Linked DNA regions of Arabidopsis thaliana. The protein of the gene in region 1 interacts with the protein of each later gene in a pairwise test. Each region holds a gene or a part of one and is shown in the gene's direction. Other genes may lie near its edges.

The links. Proteins that work in one complex are often made in the same cells at the same time.
Region 2: the proteins of AT2G18740 (region 1) and AT5G57860 interact in a two-hybrid assay, tested with the Arabidopsis thaliana proteins (one large-scale study listed by BioGRID).

The regions. Positions count from the first base shown.
Region 1 is NC_003071.7:8,120,642-8,126,963, forward strand, and holds AT2G18740 (Small nuclear ribonucleoprotein family protein), read left to right. Parts: upstream 1-2,579; 5' UTR 2,580-2,692; coding exon 2,693-2,734; intron 2,735-2,834; coding exon 2,835-2,861; intron 2,862-2,960; coding exon 2,961-3,023; intron 3,024-3,744; coding exon 3,745-3,823; intron 3,824-3,910; coding exon 3,911-3,956; intron 3,957-4,059; coding exon 4,060-4,069; 3' UTR 4,070-4,437; downstream 4,438-6,322. Other genes in the region: DGK3 (diacylglycerol kinase 3), read left to right, coding at 1-65, 186-256, 362-439, 527-614, 695-811, 890-1,048; AT2G18750 (Calmodulin-binding protein), read left to right, coding at 5,186-5,301, 5,452-5,527, 5,618-5,676, 5,757-6,250.
Region 2 is NC_003076.8:23,435,336-23,439,903, forward strand, and holds AT5G57860 (Ubiquitin-like superfamily protein), read left to right. Parts: upstream 1-2,218; 5' UTR 2,219-2,394; intron 2,395-2,584; exon of another isoform or gene 2,585-2,620; 5' UTR 2,621-2,655; coding exon 2,656-2,658; intron 2,659-2,938; coding exon 2,939-3,124; coding exon of another isoform or gene 3,125-3,139; exon of another isoform or gene 3,140-3,270; coding exon 3,271-3,310; intron 3,311-3,693; coding exon 3,694-3,752; 3' UTR 3,753-4,068; downstream 4,069-4,568. Other genes in the region: ADCL (D-aminoacid aminotransferase-like PLP-dependent enzymes superfamily protein), read right to left, coding at 213-307, 412-1,088, 1,177-1,343, 1,580-1,626, 1,817-1,952; eIFiso4G1 (MIF4G domain-containing protein / MA3 domain-containing protein), read left to right, coding at 4,420-4,568.

The DNA.
Region 1 (6,322 bases):
CATATGGCTTCCACCATCTTCGCAACACTAAACCATATCTTGCTCAAGGCCCTATTTCAAATAAGGTTTGTTTATTATATTTGCACCTAAACTTTGGACTCATTATTTGTCTTTGTTAAAAGCTAAAGTAGTTATGTTGGTTTTGAGAAACGACATTACCAACCACACAATGTTTGCTTTTGCAGATTATATATTCAAGTTTTGGTTGCAGTCAGGGTTGGTTTTGCACGCCTTGTGTCAACGATCCAGGTTTAAGGTTCGCCATTTCGACTCTTATTGTGTAGTTGAACTTGTGTGTAAGTCTCTGCTTAAGCCCTTTGTTGTGTTGTTGACCCCTTGTTTGTGCTATATGAATTTGCAGGGGACTTAGGAACATAATGAAAATTCACATCAAAAAGGTTAACTGCTCTCAGTGGGAAGAGATCGCAGTCCCGAAAAAGTAAAAAACAGTTTTCGATATATGATTTATGTATTACAATCTTTGATATCAATGCTTAAAACCTGATGCTATGGATTTCTCTTGTAGTGTGAGATCAATTGTCGCATTGAATCTTCACAGCTATGGAAGTGGAAGCCATCCTTGGGGCAATCTAAAACCGGACTATCTAGAGAAGGTATTGTTTCTGTTCCATTTCATCATATATGAACTCAGTTCTCTGATGTTAACCCGAATGTTTTCTTTGGTTTTTCTCAGAGAGGCTTTGTGGAAGCACATTGTGATGATGGTTTGATAGAGATTTTCGGTTTTAAGCAAGGATGGCACGCGTCATTTGTCATGGCTGAGCTCATCTCTGCCAAGCACATAGCTCAGGTAACTTCAAAAGACACTGGTCAATGTATAATCTTTTTAGCCATGTGTTTGACTGTTTCATTTTGGTGATCATTTCAGGCTGCTGCGGTAAGATTTGAGCTAAGAGGAGGTGACTGGAGAGACGCATTCTTGCAAATGGATGGTGAGCCATGGAAGCAACCAATGAGCACTGAGTACTCAACATTTGTGGAGATCAAGAAGGTTCCTTATCAATCTCTGATGATAAATAATGAATGATTGAGATTCAAAGCTGGATTCTTTGTACAAAGCTAATTGTTTTGTATTTGGATTTGATTCAGTTAGTCATAGATATAGCCTAAGCTTTTTAGTCTTCTTTTCTTTTAAATCTGAGATTGTGACCATTTTTCTCTTTTTAATTTCTGCTTATTGTTGGTTTTGTACATTTTTGTGTTGTGAGGAATGAAGTTTGTTTATTTATAAGAATGTGGGAAGATAATATTTGGTCAAATTTCAATCTCTCTTCAATCTTTGTAATTCTAGCATTGAGCACATAGATGTGATTCTTTGTCATATTTTTATTTATTTTAACACTAGTTCGACTGAGAACCAATTTATCATCGACACCAATTTCTAAGTAAGAATATTTTTAATAATTATCATTATTAGTCGTATATTTTTACCAGAATAATAAAAAATTAAAAACCTAAGTTAATAAACCACACAAAAAAGTTTTTCTCTCTTCGCTCTCTCGTAGTTTGTAAAGATAGAAACTGAAATTTCTTTTGTTTTTGTTAACCGGATAGTTTTCCGGTGAGTCGCCGTCCCGTTTAATTCGGGCTTTCGTCCGACATCTTCTAGCTACGTTAGTGGAGATGGTTGGCTTTTTGTATGGCATCGTTGGCTAACTTAGCGACGTTGGCCAGCTTCCGTACGGCAGCGTTGGGCTTACACTAACAGCGTTGGTCATCTTTGTTTTTGTTTTGTTACTTCAAAGGTTTGATGATGAAGCTTTATGGCATGCAGAATCGTCAGATCTGAAGAGGGTTTCTCTTTACAAGATCTATTCTCCTTCTGTTTTGTTTAGCTTCACTATTGGGTTATGCTTTTGGCTCTGGTAGTTTTTCGGCGATGTGTGCGTTTCCAGCAATTACCCTCGTTTGGATCTACCATATTTAAGACAGTTTCAATTTTATTTTCGCCTAAGATTGGGTTAAAGCTTCTATCCTATGCAAATTTGATATGCCTTTAGTGCTTTTGCAAGAGAGTTCGAAGATTCAATGGTTGGACAAGTTTGAACTACTCAATTTTTTTAATTTCTTTACCCGTTTTGATGAATTATTTGTGATTCTAGCAACCATATGAGATTAGGAAATTGATGTTTGTTCTATAACATCTAATTGCCATAATCGGTGATAGAAAAAAAGAGTTTCATTGCTCGGTGCTTTCCCGGCGATGGTTCTCCGATTCACCAGACTTGAGTCTCATCCGGTGGAGGTTGTGGAAGATTCACGTGTCCTTAGCTTATTATTATTGGTCTGACACGTCTTAAGCTTATCTCTTTTTTGTGACGTAAAAGTCTGTTGTGGACCTCATATGTAGACTGTCTTGAGCCTTTTATGTTGTAACACTGAGCCTCAGTATATTAAAAATAAATCTTTCTCTGAAAAAAAAAAAAAAAAAGTTAAAAACCTACGCTAAAAAATTCTAGGTCTTGGAAAAGAGTATTTGGGCCAAATGATCACATTAATTAGTTATGGGCTGAAATAACATTCTGAAGTTTTATGAGGACCGAGAGAACTAAGTTTAAGAAAAATGTTGAAAAAAGCGTATTAGCAGAGGGACAAACGCTTTTTAGGGTTTTAGATTTCCTCTGAGAGAGAATTTTCGAAAGCTTGAGAGAGATTTCCAACTACGTTAGCCATGGCGAGCACCAAAGTTCAAAGGATTATGACCCAACCTATCGTACGTTTCTTCTTCGATTCCTTTGTTCCATCTCTTTATTGTTTCTATCGAAACCTAATTTTGTATCTTGCTTTTTGTTTTCCGGTGGCGGCGGCTCCAGAACTTGATTTTTAGGTTTCTTCAAAGTGTAAGTTGTTCAATTTCTTCTGATTTGCTCTCTGAGGTTTTAGGTTATTAGTAGTTCGTCTACTGATTTGTTCCCTGGTCTTTTGTGTTTGTGATGCAGAAAGCTAGGATCCAGATTTGGCTATTTGAGCAGAAAGATTTGAGGATTGAAGGAAGAATCACTGTAAGTTGATGTTGAAGCTCCGTTATCATGAATTGATTAGATTCCTGGCTTTGTTTATAGGACATTCGAGGGTTATGCTAACTTTAGGAGAGTTTGAAATGCATTAGCAGTGTGACTATCTCTCTAATTTAGTCTGTGTTTGAACTGTTGCATTTGTTGTGAATTGAAAAGGGATAGTTGTCACTGTTACTACTACTGCACAAAGAACTGATAAGAGCCTGCCAATAGAAACTAGTTTGATTAGCTAGCTGTTCTTAGGTTGAGTATGATTGTGTCATTCTCTTCGGCTTAAAACTTATTGTCTCCTACAGCCTACTTGGCTTTGGGTGTTACTTGTTTCAGTTTGTTGCTATGCTTGTAGTTGTATGTCCTCTATGATTTTCGAGTTATGATTCAAGCATTCAAGCTTTTCTTAGTTTGATTCTATGATAATTTGGAGAAACTTGAGATTTTGTGATGGTGTCATTCTCATTGGCTTAAAGGTTTGAGTTGTCTACTTGACTTTTGTTGTTCCATGTTGCAGTCTACTTGACTTTTGTTGTTCCTCGAGTTAAGATCCTAGCTTTTCTGAGGTTGATTATATGTATGGAGGAACATGATATTTGTGATAGTGTCACTCTACTCGGTTTTAAACTTAGATTTTTGTCTACTTGAATTTGGGTGTATTATTGATTCTTCTAGGAGAATCCATCAAACCTTGCTTATCCGTCGTCCTTTGCAGGGTTTTGACGAATACATGAATCTAGTTTTGGATGAGGCTGAAGAAGTGAGCATCAAGAAGAACACCAGGAAACCACTTGGTGAGTTATCCTGAACTCACTCTTTGATAACAAGTCTCAGATCTGTCTGCTTATGGTTTGATAACTCGTGTTAATACCTATTTTCAGGAAGGATTTTACTCAAAGGAGACAACATAACTCTGATGATGAACACGTAAGTAACACAATCTCTACTCTGTCTTCTCTCTTTATGATGTATAGCAGCTTGATTTGTCACATAACAAAAGATTGAAACAAAATCCTTTCTATGTTAACAGGGGAAAGTGATGTCTGTCTCAAACAACTCTCTTCGATGACCTTCAAGCTTATGTTAAATATCTGTTGAGTTCTTCCTCAGCTTAATTGGTACTTGACGATACCTTCTTTTCTTCAATGTCGTATAATATATTGCAATGTAGTGAGTGACAAAGGAGCTTGATCGAATCTAGTGGATTGGTTGGTTAAAACTTCAAAAAAGAGATTTGGTCCCTTTTGGTTAAATCTAGTGTTATGTAATTTGGCTGATCTTTGTTGCAACTTTTTAACCTCTGTTTAAATTTCAAACCTTAAAAAAGTAAAACCAATTGATTTTGATTATAAAAAAAATTGTATCATTTTTGTTTGTTTGGTGAACTGACCGAGTTGGCCATTCTCAGGGCTCAAGTAGATTGAAAGTTTAATTATACTAATAGACCAATCAGAATATAATCTGTTAAAGTTAACATAAAAATACAGAAATCTATGTGAACATTAACTTTTCATTGCAATTAGATGTTTTTATATCCATGTTGATTGTTGAATCTTATCCCTAATCTTGCTATTGGTGAAATGAATGTATTTTTACTATTAAAGTCTTTTTTTAATAACAAATAATTGGACTTTATACAACAAAGTATTATTATTTAATTATCAACTTTAGAATATAGCATGTGCCAAAAATACATACACTAGCCGCCGGCCCAAGAATGTCGTCCAATAAACGAAAAGCAAAAGTGACGGCAATCCAAGCCTACTGTGATCTTGTCCGCACCCGATAACTATCTTTAATTACTAAAACTAGTCAAAGTACTCGACTAATCACAAAACTAGACAAGTGTTTCAAGTAAATTAATTTTTGATCTTTTCATTTTATCTCTCTCTCTTTTTCTTCTATCCAAAACACCATTTTTGAGGTATTTTTCTCTCTCCTTCGAATCGAATTTTCAGGTTTCTCTTTCCGTTTGTTTGAAGAAGCTTTTAAGTAGAATTCATAAAATCTTGCTTAGCTTCTGGGTTTGATTTGTTTGTGGTAAAGTTTTGATTTTTTTTTTAGTTTGAGAGCTGGATTTGTGATTCTTTCTCTGGGTTGGTGAAGTTTTTTACTTGCTTCGATCTTATAGATCAGAGCTTCTAGCAGCGTAAAAAATGCAGACGAGGTATATGGAGAGGACTAATAGTATGAGAGAGAAGAGAAAATTGGAGGAAGATGATAATCAGCAGCAGCAGCAACAGCCTGAGCGTAAAAGGCCAGCTCTTGCAAGGTAATTTGTGTTGATGCTTGTAATTTTTCTGATTATTGATTATGGCGTTGTTGAATCTGTAATTGATTTGTAGTTGTATGAATGAAAAAAGGGTTGTTATGTATATTGATTGTCTGTGGATTTGAGAAAGTTGTGTATGTGTTATTGCAGTGTAATTGTGGAAGCCTTGAAGATGGATAGTTTACAGAGGCTTTGTTCTTCTTTGGAACCGATTCTTCGCCGAGTGGTTAGCTTAATAAGAATTGTTTACATGTCTTTTGGTGCTTTGTGTTGTTTCTTTGGCTTACTGATTTGTTTTGTGAGCATTGTCAAACAGGTAAGTGAAGAGGTGGAGCGGGCATTGGCAAAGCTTGGCCCTGCAAGACTTAGTGAAAGGTAACATATGACTGTTTTAAAAAGAGATAAAATTAATGGTTGGAGTATTTGTGGTTTTCTTCTAATGCTTGAGTTCACAGGTCGTCTCCAAAACGAATTGAAGGTATCGGTGGAAGGAATTTGCAGCTACAATTCAGGTCTAGATTGTCTGTTCCTTTGTTTACTGGAGGGAAGATAGAAGGGGAGCAAGGTGCTGCAATCCATGTTGTACTGTTGGATATGACAACTGGACATGTTTTGACAGTAGGACCTGAAGCTTCTGCAAAGCTTGATGTTGTTGTGCTTGATGGTGATTTTAACACTGAAGATGATGATGGTTGGAGTGGAGAAGAGTTTGAGGGTCATTTGGTGAAAGAACGTCAAGGGAAGAGGCCTCTCTTGACTGGTGATGTGCAGGTCACGTTGAAAGAAGGTGTGGGAACATTAGGGGAACTTATCTTTACGGACAACTCAAGTTGGATTAGATGCAGAAAATTCAGGCTGGGTTTAAGGGTCTCTTCGGGTTACTGTGAGGGAATGCGTGTACGCGAGGCAAAAACAGAAGCTTTTACCGTGAAGGACCATCGTGGAGAGTGTAAGTTCTTGCTTTCCTTTGATATTAGTCATTGATGTATCTGAATCTTTGTTTTTCTTTTGCCTAATGTTT
Region 2 (4,568 bases), on another chromosome or scaffold:
TAAGAGATGAAAAACAAGAAATTTGAGCACTAGACGCAACCACTCCATGAATTGTTGAGAATGGGTACAATCATAATTCAAAAGTGATAAAGAGAAATCTTTACAAAGACAGATACCTAAAAACCCCATGATAAACTCAACTTACAATAACAGCAAAGCTTTACAAAAAAGCCACAGCTTATTGTCTTTGATGAACAAAGAGAGTGATTGGCTCAGTAAGGAACAAGAACACGAACGGAAGGTGGACCAGATCTCATATCTTCAAGTAACAGATCAAGAAGCGCCTTTGCTATAGGACCTTCTTTTCCTGAGTCAGACAGAAAGAAACCCATCTTTAATCAGCCAATCTATCCATCATGTAAGTAATTAAAAGTGAGGCTTTTAAAATGTTTATATGATAATCTTACTTACCTTCACCAATAAATTCTTCATCCCATTGAATCACAGGTCTGATCGGAATTCCACTACCAATAAGCATCATCTCATCTGCTTTCTTTCCATCTTCGACTGTCACATCCATTACTTTCACAGTTTTAAGAATCCCCTTGCTTACAAGCTGTTCAGCGAGTGTAAGTGTTCTCTTTGCTGTACATCCGCTCAAAACGTTATCAAACCGCGGCATCACAAGCTCCTTACCACCATTAACAACAAACGCCACATTCATGTTCGGGCCTTCTGCAATAAACCCATCTTTACACACCCAAATACCTGCATAAGCTCCTTTGGCCTCAGCTTCCATTTGTGAGAGTACGTTAGGGAGGTAGTTAACACTTTTCACCGTGGCAAACTCTGGAGGCTTTATGGGGATGGACGAGGTCACTACCTTGACACCTATTGGGTTAATGGCGAAGTTCGTTTTTATAACAATGGCATAGAGAGTTGGTTTGAGACATTGAGATGGAGATAGGAGGAAATCCCCTGGCCCTGCAGAGAGCCAGTATCTTAGAGATCCATCTCTACATCCAGAAACGCTCACGGTTTGAATGAGAATTCTTTTAATAGTTTCTCGATCGAATGGAAGTGGGATCTTAGCCATTGATGCAGATCGCAAGATACGGTCAAGGTGCTGATCCAATTCATAAAGGTATCTGCTTATTCGTAGGACAACAAGCGAAGCTCAGATGATTGAGTAATAAGACAAATTAGAAAAGGGGGCTACTATTTAAAGTGACTAACCCATTGATGATCAGGGCAGTGTCAAAGACTCCATGACCACGGTGAACCATGTGATCATCCAATGGAAGAACCATCGCTGCTGGATCGGTTGTAATTCCATCAACAACACTTGAGTACATGGCCAAGAACTGTTGTCCTCCTCTTGCTAGTTTTAGCCTCTCACCAACCTTTTAAACCAAACATACTTCACTGATACTCAATCAATCAACGCCTCTAAACATAAACGGATAACAAACAAATGTCGCAATCCTTCATTACGGGCTGCATCTATAATTTCATTGACAAAACACAGAAATGTCTGGTGGTTGTGTCAATAAACATCTCTAGCTAACAAATTGTGAACAGTTTCAAGAGTTAAAGATATGATTGATAAGTACAGACATAAAAGAGAAACCATAATTACCTCATAGCTAGATAAAACAGGAACATTCCACGACTGAGAGCTTGAATCTGTGGAGAAACGAATGCAGATTTTTGTCATCAATTCCAGAACACTTATGGAATTTAACGATCAACAAATTGATCTCTTTTTTAGGGTAATAAGTGTACATTACCCTAAAAAGATTATAATAAATGCATCACCAATCACAATCCAGAAGAAAAATCAGAAAAGAGAGAACACAAGGTAGAAATGTCGAACCAGAACACATGAGAATCGTTCTTCTTCGTGTCAACCGACGCGGGAATCGAAAGCCATGTCTTAAAGGACATGGAACTTGAGAGAGAGACCTGAGATTCCAAGTGTTAACTGTAAACTCCAGCGACAAACCTGCCATGGGGTTTGGGACTCAAAAGAATAGAGAGAGAGAGATCATTCGGAAATAGCAACTTGCTTTGCATTATTATTATCTCAGTCGTGAACTGGAAGAAGACGAAAAAATATTTGGGCCTAACTTCACCACAAAAATAAAATAAAGTTATTCGGCCCATAAGCCCAATATGACTTTTCGCATTGTATTTTAATATTCAATCAATCAAAAATAAAAGCCTAAAACAAAACAAACCCTCTCTGTCTTTTAGTGGGTTTTGTACGACGCCTAATCGATGTTAGTATTATATCTGTAGCCAAACAAGCCACCAAAGTGGTATTTTTCTTCTTCCTTCCTTACCTTGTAGGGCTCTGAGCTCGAGTTATAAAAAAGCCAACTTTGATTTCTTTGCCAGTATTTCATCCTTAATCCATTCTTGTGGTCACTTTTTCGTCCTTAACCCATCTAGGTAAGTCGATTTCATTGTTTGTTATTTGAGTCAGTAATTTTTGAAAATCTTTGCTTTTTTTTCTTTTCTTTTGAATATCAAAAGAAGAAAAGATTTGGGGGATAACTAGATCATCTCTTTAGTTAAATTGACTCTTTGAGGTGTGTCAATTGTCACTGATAGTCTGATTAATCTTTTATTGGCATCTTAGAACAGATTTTGATTCTAAAGTCTTGTGAATCGGCAGCGGAAGAAGAGTGAATTGTTCATCCTTATCTTGCCATGGTAAACATTCTACTTCTTTTGTTCACTTTGATGGGTTTGATTGTTCTTAGTATATTCAATCCTTTGCTTATTTGACGGGAAGTAGAGATGTTTTTGGAATGAGAACATCTTTTCCCTTCTTAATTCCAGCTTCCTGATCACATTTATTACTGTTCTTCTTGGAGTAATAAAAGTTGAGATACTTTTGTCTTGCAATAATTTTGCTTTAATCAATCGAACAAGTTAGATTTTGGCCATATTGGTTGTAGTATTGATTAGTCTTGTGTAATATTGTTTGCAGGCTATGTATATTCGTGTGAAGCGCATGAAAACTACTTACTTTATCCAATGTGATCCAACAGAGACTGTTTTGGATGTTAAGCAAAAACTGTTTGCTCTCATTGAGCAACCAGTTAACAATCAGCGTCTGGTCTTAATGTCTACCGAAGAAGTATTAGAGGATTCGAAATCCTTAGCAGATCAGAAGGTATCACACGTTTGACTATCTAATATATTTATCTTTTGAGTCATTGCTCAAGTTTAAAAGAAGAACTTGGTCACATAGCCACTGCCTCCGTTTGCGTGTATTTGAAAGTTATAAGCTTGTCACCATCTTCTTTTTTGGTTGTTCAGGTTGAGAATGATGCAGTTGTGGCTTTGACTTTGAAGAAAGGTTATACCTTAGATCCTCTTATTCTGAAATTTTCAATTCCTTGTTGAAATGTCGTAATGGATCATGCATCTTGGTTAATTACTTATCACACTTCATCTTTCTATATGTTATTTGGTATATGAACCCTTCAAACTCCATTGACTTCAATTGAGCCTGTTATTGTGAATCTTAGTTATTTTGTTATCACTGGATAATCTTTTGGTATGTTTAAGAGTCTTGCCTAACTTTTGTGACCGTGATATAGCTGAATGTGATTCCTAATCTTATTATTCTTTTAGCCTTGTTTCGATTACACAACTGTTGAGGATGCTGTATTGCATTCTGAATCTATACAGCTATGAACGGCATAATGATTGCATTGCATCTCTTTTTTCCATGTGCAGATGATAACGAGTTTGAGGATGTCAACATTGCACAGCCCACCGACTTCTCACTTTCATGAAGAGTTGCTTACTGTATCAAGGAAACTTCAGGAGAAGGTATTGATTCAAAACACAAGGAGGAGTCTATAAACGCCAGAAGTTGTTTCTTTTGCGTCTCTGCTTGTGTTAACGCCTCTTTAGTTTGTTACAGACAATTGTTGTAAGTAAAGATATTGAGATGTGGAAGTTTGATTGCAACTTGCCAGATTAGTAGTTTTTACAGTCTCTTAATATGTTTACAATGAGCTAGAGGTGCAGCTAACACGAGCCGAGGAAGCTCCATTATTACCATTTGACATTGTTCATTGACGGAAAACCCAATGAGGGTGACAAAATAAAGAGACAAAAAAACAAAATGAAAGGACATAACTGTAATCTTAACGGAAAAAAACGTTAAGGCTATAAGTGTGTCTGGTTCGGGAAAAAGAGAGGAAAAAAACCCTAATAAAGAGAAGGGATTGTGTCTCCTTCTCGACTTCTTCTTCTTCTTCTCATTTCTCAATCTCAACTTTTCTCTTCTCTTCTCTTCTTCGCTAACGGCAGGAGAGAGAGAGACCCAGAAATCCGATCCCTCCTCTCCTTGGATTATCGGAGTCAGCGATTCATCGTCGCTGATAAAGCTTCTACCTTTCTCTTCGATTTTTGTTGTGAGATTCGATTCGATCTTAAGGCGGATTAGATCGAGGTATGCAGCAAGGCGATCAAACGGTTCTGAGCTTGAGACCTGGTGGCGGTCGAGGAAACAGACTATTTGGTTCCTCTTCTTCTTCTTCGTCTCTCTCTTTTGGCTCTCTTTCATCTTCGGATCTACCTCTCCTTCGTCCTCATGGTGGTGC